Canis lupus familiaris: one gene and its partner. The protein of the gene in region 1 interacts with the protein of each later gene in a biochemical or structural test. Links are inferred from orthologs where the notes say so. Each region holds a gene or a part of one and is shown in the gene's direction. Other genes may lie near its edges. The genes, in order: RACGAP1 and ECT2.

Region 1 (3,831 bases):
AGGTTTGGGATATATAGTAAAACTAGAACCTATTAATAACTGATTTGGGAGCTAGACCAAATATGGTGTATCTGTTATAATCCAAACTGAATCAGATAATCAGTAGCTAAATTAAATTACTTGACCAGGAATTGGAGAGTTTAGATTTCATTTAGCTAAGCTACCATTTGCTCTCTACTGTTTCTGGGTTTTGTGTTTTCAGAGATTATCAGGAGTAAGTCATAGGTGGTTCCTAAAAGTGAATGTAAATGGTTATTTAAGTGAAGTGAAACTAGACCACGGTAAAAAAATTCTTCAGTGGTGAATGTCTTTGTTGGGGCCCAAGGAAGAGGATGTTTGAGAAATGTAAAGCCTGAACTAGAACTTGTTAAGTGGCTACATTGTACAGAACGTCTGGTTAGATGATAGCAATCCCTTAAGAGCAAGAAGGACATGTAACCTGATCAGTATAGTACCTGAGCTTCTGTGAGTTCTACAACTAATTACAGAAATAGTCAGAAATAAAGGGCCAGGCACTGGAGATAATCACGACAGAAGTTGATTCTTTAACCTTTTCTTGCCTCTGTGGTATTGACTCCTGACTCTATTATAATAGCTTCAATTTTGGAGATAAAGCAAGTTAACTCACCATAGCTCTATAGCTATAGCACTTGAGACCCTCCCCTTTCCCTCTCCCCAAATTGTCAGGCAGTCTGTCTCAAAAAGCTTTTCGAGGGGCGCCTGAGTGGCTCAGCAGTTGAACGTCTGCCTTCAGCTTAGGGCATGATCCTGGGGTCCTGGGATCGAGTCCCACATCAGGCTCTCTGTGGGGAGCCTCCTCCCTCTACCTGTGTCTCTACCTCTCTATTTCCCATGAATAAATAAATAAATTCTTAAAAAAAAAGCCTTTCAAGTTTTCTGTAAATTTATTTGCACAGGGTTTAGGGGAGGCCTAACCACAGAGAGAAACTAATGCAGTGTAATTGTCAACAGGATTGGGATTCTTCCTTGGTAAAGACTTTCAAACTAAAGAAGAGAGAAAAGAGGGTACGTATGGTTTTATTTAGTTTTTGCTGTTGTTTTTACAAAATTACAATAAAGGAATTTTCTCTAGAAGTTTTTCCATGATACAGCATTCCTGACTTATGTTGCTCTAATCATTTTTAAACACCTATTACAAATGAATTCATCCTGGGGGCTGTATTGCCAATCCTCGAGGTAGTAACTCAGGACAGAATCTTGTCCTATTTCACTGTTCTGGCTGCCTCAGTTCATTCATATATTGGAAAAGGATTTACTTAAGTTTGTTTTGAGTTGTCATAGGAATTTTTACGCAGGACTTTTGTACTCTAAAAAATTTTCAGATGAAGTACGTGTATAATGGGATATGCAGAGCTCTGTCTGTGTGTGCTTGTTTAGGGTACTTAATATGTGTCCAAAGACTTCATGTCTTTTGATAGGATTACAGCTCTACTTTTTCTGGTGCTGTCATCTAAATTTTTCCAAAGCTTGGTTGTTTCTTCCAGGGCATTGAGGGCATTTTTGTGTTGGTACAACTTAAGCTTTATGTGGAAATAGAATGATATATATAACTAACTAACTAACTAACTAACTAACTAACTAACTAACTAACTAACTAACATTGTTATTTACCATAGCCCTGGTACCTAGGACTTGTACCCAAGTTGTCTAATGGAATAATGTTATCTTCTGTGCTTCAGGTCTTCTATTTGGCACTAAACTAATTGGTCTTTGTCTCCTTTCCAGCGCTCTAGTAGCCGACAGTTCATTGATGGTCCCCCTGGACCTGTAAAGAAGACTCGTTCCATTGGCTCCACAGTAGACCAGGTAAGAATAGTCAGGCCAAGAGAATTGTGGTTGTGAACACATTAGAGATTAGTGGCCCCAAGCACTAAGAATCCTGAGTCAAGGGGCACCTGGGTGGCTCAGTCTGTTAAACATATGATCCTTGGGGTCCTGGAATCAAGCCCCACGTTGGGCTCCCTGCTCAGTGAGGAGTCTCCTTGTCCCTTTCCCTCCCCTTCTGCTCCTGACCCTGCTTGTGCTCTCTCTGTCTCTCTCTCAAATAAATAAATAGAATCCTGAATCAACGCTGTAATGTTATTTTGAGAGAGAGATTTGGTGAGTTTTTCTGTGTAATAATAGGATCCTTATCATCCACATGAATGGAATCACTCTGAGTAAACAACTGTTGGTTTTGTATTTGATTCTATGTAGTTGCTTATGTGTATGCCTCTGTGACCTATATTTCTGTTCTAAAGTACAAGGTTTCAACTGAGTGTTTTGAGCTAGGGCCTTAAGTCCTGGCCAAGATTTAGGAGTTTTCAGCCACTCCAAAACACCCTATAGTGGAGGGGAAATGAGATTCACATGTTTGTTCTTCCCTCATTTCTACTTTTGTTTCAGGGGAATGAATCTATAGTTGCAAAAACTACGGTGACTGTTCCCAATGATGGCGGGCCCATCGAAGCTGTGTCCACAATTGAGACTGTACCATATTGGATGAGAAGCCGAAGGAAAACAGGTCCATTGGGTTTCTAACTAAATTGCCTGTGTAAAACAACTAGTAAAATTGGGGGAGACTTGGTTTTTTAAGAACCTTTTGAGGCAGGGAGTAGATGTTGTGGGTGGTTTCTTACTGCTGCTTACTGAAGGCCAGGACACTGTCATACTCTACCTTTAGATTGCTAGCCTGCCCTATGCCACTCACATGTAACTCGTTGTTGTTTTTTTTTTCCTATAGATTATTTAAGAGTGAGAGTGGGGGGAGGGGCAGAGGGTGAGAATCTTCAAGCAGACTCCATGAGCATGGAGCCTACATGGGACTCGATTCCATGACTCATGAGACCCTGACCTGAGCCAAAATCAAGAGTCAGATACTCAACCTATTGAGCCAGCCAGGTGCCCTATAATTTGTTATTCTTTTTTTTTTTTTTTTAATTTTTTTATTGGAGTTCAATTTGCCAACATATAGCATAACACCCAGTGCTCATCCTGCCAAGTGCCCCCCTCAGTGCCCATCACCCAGTCACCCCAACCCCCCGCCCACCTCCCCTTCTACTACCCCTTGTTCATTTCCCAGAGTTAGGTGTCTCTCATGTTTTGTCATCCTCACTGATATTTTCACTCATTTTCTCTCCTTTCCTTTTATTCCCTTTCACTAATTTTTGTATTCCTCAAATGAATATAATGTTTGTCCTTTTCCGATTGACTTATTTCACTCAGCATAATACCCTCCAGGTCCATCCACGTCGAAGCAAATGGTGGGTATTTGTCATTTCTAATGGCTGAGGAATATTCCATTGTATACATAGACCACAGCTTCTTTATCCATTCATCTTTCGATGGACACCGAGGCTCCTTCCACAGTTTGCCTATTGTGGACATTGCTGCTAGAAACATCGGGGTGCAGGTGTCACGGTGTTTCACTGCATTTGTATCTTTGGGATAAATCCCCAGCAGTGCAATTGCTGGGTTGTAGGGCAGATCTATTTTTAACTCTTTGAGGAACCTCCACACAGTTTTCCAGGTAACTTGTTATTCTTGAAATGATTTTTCTGCATAGCGATTGTAGTCACTTCTGATTATGGTTACAAATTACTGGTCATCTACCAGTTATATTAAACTTGGGGTTAAAATTCAGAAGGAACAAAATATTAAGCTTAAAGTTGCTTGTTTTCTAGGTACTTTACAGCCTTGGAACAGTGACTCTACCTTGAGCAGCAGGCAGCTAGAGCCAAAAACTGAGACAGACAACTCTGGCACCCCGCAGAATAATGGAGGGATGCGCCTGCATGACTTCGTCTCTAAGACGGTAGATCTGTGATCACT
Region 2 (3,216 bases), on another chromosome or scaffold:
AAAGATTAATTACGTTAATATACGCAAAGGACTTTGAACAGTTCTTGGAATATAATAAGTGGTTTAGCATTTTATGAATGGTTACCTTTTTTTATATGAAATTTATAGATGAGGTGTTAACGCACCTCATCTAGTAACTCTTATTTTTTTAAAAGCTAGTTAGGTCTAAGTCTTAAACACTTACAGTTAAATGTATGAGTATGTTTATACAAATTTTGGAGGAAGATTAACCTTCCAGTGGAAGGGAAGTTGTGCTTGACAATATAGATATATGCAAAGAAATTTGATAAATGAAAATGAGTTAATAGATAATAGACAATACAGTAAGGCCAAAGTCCTGTCCCTTGTTTATGTCCCGCATCTACATACCTACGTAACTCTTATAAACATTGCTTTTCAAATGGATGTAATTGGAATTCACAGAAAATTTTTAGAAAATTATTTGTAGCTTTTGTCACTTCTTTGTAGATAACATAAATAAGTATGTAAAATATCTTTAAAACATTGATGTCCTCTTCTCAATTGCTTATTTCTGTTCTAACAGATTGTCCATTCTGTTTCCACAAGCAATATAATTGGATTTACTAAGCATGTTTATGTACAGCGCTCAAACTCTACTGGTGGGCGCTCTCAAAACTCCTGGTTTCGATCTATCCGTCATTCTGCCTCACGAGCTAGTTTTTCAGAGATACTAAAAGGAACTATTGATTTTTCAAATTTCAAAAAAAGTCCTATCCAAGTCATCTTTGATATTTGTGAAGAATTAGGAGATATGCCAACCAGTAATGGAAACAAGCCTCGTGAAGTTTAATGTGAGCTTATTAGCTATTTGAAATTTGTATTTGTGAAAAGAAGAAAGTATACTTTCTTCACTGAATCATTATTAAGTGGGTGGGGATTTAGAAATTAGAAATTTTCCTATTTATGAAAGTGAGCATTTTAAGGAATAGTAATAATTTTGATGTAAAGTAGATTTTTATTCCAAATCTGATTCTTAATCTTAGATTTATGGCATTTATATAAAATTCATGCTTTTTAATATGGCAAATCATAAACGCTTCGCTTGAAGAAACTTTAAGCTTTTATACTATCTTCTTAAATCATCTTTGTTATCACTTAAATGGTAATACTTTACCAACGTAGCTCTTTAAATAAATACTACATTTTACTACATTGTTGATGAGAACTTACAATCAGCTACTTGGTTGGCTCTAGGTTTACTTACAGTTAGACATTCATATATGTTAAAGCAATAATAGCTTTCTTTATAATTCATCTTGATTTACACCCACTCTTCAATTTTTGGTGTTCTTGCGCATGTTTCTTTATTATTATTGAAAATTCTGATGATATTTAACTTTGACCTCTGAAACAAATATAGATAGCTTAGTAACTTAATAATCTTCAGAAGTGCTATATTTTGCTGTTTTTACATGGAGCAAAATTATACACCTACACCTATGTATGAATTGCACACATAGTACAAAAACTCTCTAGGAATATATGACCTTTAATTTTAGAGAACAATTTTTCATGAAGTAATTTCACTCTCTTAATTTTGCTTTATGATTAAGAAGAAACTACTAGGGCTTGTCTTTTTACCACAAAAACTTACTAATTTATAATTTTTTTAAAGAACCTGAAACAGTCTTTAATATCACACAGAAATACCCTATTACCAGTAAGCCAGTATCCCAGTTGACTTAATATATAATTAACCAGTCTGTGCATTTCTTTTTGTTTTTCAGAATGCTAAAATACTTTTGTGTTTTTTTCCCATCCCCTAATTTAAATTCATTTATTTAAAGAGTTTAGAATTCTCAGATGTTTTAAAATTGTTACATTAGGTTGTAAAAATAATCTGCATGATGCTAAAATGTTATTTTTTTTTTTAAGAAAAAATTTAAATATAAAAATATTTGTCTTGTCTTTACAGGGTATCCCATCTCCCTCCCTTATCAGCCTACCTTCCTTCTTTGAAAGAAGAAGTCATACTTTAAGCAGATCTACAACTCATTTGATATGAAGCTTAAAAAAAGTCTTAATTTAAAGCAACTTATAAACACTTCATGTTCAAATAAGAAACTGACTTAAATGGTACTTGTCATTAGCACTTGGTGAAAGCTGGAAAGAATATAGATAACACTAAAACTGTCATTTGATTTTCTTCTTGAATGAGTAAGGTTAACCTCTTACATATTTTTGAGTTAATTCATGTAAAAATTATATTGATTTTGATGTAATTTTTCTCTTCACTCGAATCCTTCATTCTAAGACCAATAATTTAAGTTATTCATATTAGTAGCCTTGCAACTTGATAATAGTAAATAAATTATATTGGTGAGTACCAAATACTGCTGTGACTCTCTGTGTATAGTGTCCATGAATGAATTTTTGGAAATTCCTATTTGTGTATCTCAATTTGTGAAGAAATTAAGTGATAATACAGAACTTACTAGATAAAACACCTGCACAGATTTCTGGTTAATAGTGGGGACTTGTTTCAAATGTGCTGTTTGAAGTAGTTATTTAACTGTTCTGTTGCAGTTTATTTTATTCTCTAATGTTTTCAAAATGTAGAGTGTGGGTTTTAAAAGATTTGCCCTTATTAACAAGAATAATAATTAAAGGAGATGGTTTTAAAATACTTTTGCAAATTGAGATAAGAACAGAGAGTTTAAAAAATAATGTATATTTTGGCAAACATGGTATTAGTATATACTTGTAACTTTTTCAGGGTCCATATATTTTGAGTGATTTTAGCCACTAGCAAATCTTCATTTAGTTTGATAGTGTGAGGAATTTTATTTTGAAGGGTAAGACCATGGGGGAATTGTGGTATGGACTATTATATACTCTATGAGATAATTCTAAAATTGGCATCAGTTTTACTAATCTGCTATAAGATATGTAGATATGTGTATGGTCTACCTTTTATTTTGGTCTCATAATTAAGTGTAAAATTGAAATACATTTATTTGCTGTTGTAAAATATCTTTCAAACCCTGATGTTAATTTTCCCAATAGTTTTTTTTTTTATAGTCAGTGATCCAAAATAATCAAGTTCCTATGAATAAATGCATTTTTATTTCCTATCTGTGTAGGAGGATATGCAAACTTTTGTCATTTAACAATTTTCAGTCATCTGCTTTAATAGTTGACTAGATTTTTTCTATGCCACATATTTGCCATTTTTAAATAGTAAATCACTCTTTA

What was found.
Region 2: the proteins of RACGAP1 (region 1) and ECT2 form a complex in vitro, tested with the Homo sapiens proteins (3 studies listed by BioGRID and IntAct, with this or other methods). The link is inferred for Canis lupus familiaris from reciprocal best matches to the Homo sapiens genes RACGAP1 and ECT2.

Annotation. Positions count from the first base shown.
Region 1 is NC_049248.1:41,943,473-41,947,303, reverse strand, and holds part of RACGAP1 (rac GTPase-activating protein 1), read left to right. Parts: intron 1-972; coding exon 973-1,026; intron 1,027-1,746; coding exon 1,747-1,827; intron 1,828-2,406; coding exon 2,407-2,524; intron 2,525-3,683; coding exon 3,684-3,814; intron 3,815-3,831.
Region 2 is NC_049255.1:37,204,997-37,208,212, forward strand, and holds the end of ECT2 (protein ECT2), read left to right. Parts: intron 1-544; coding exon 545-811; 3' UTR 812-812; intron 813-1,936; coding exon of another isoform or gene 1,937-2,026; 3' UTR 2,027-2,407; downstream 2,408-3,216. UniProt on the Homo sapiens protein: Guanine nucleotide exchange factor (GEF) that catalyzes the exchange of GDP for GTP. Promotes guanine nucleotide exchange on the Rho family members of small GTPases, like RHOA, RHOC, RAC1 and CDC42.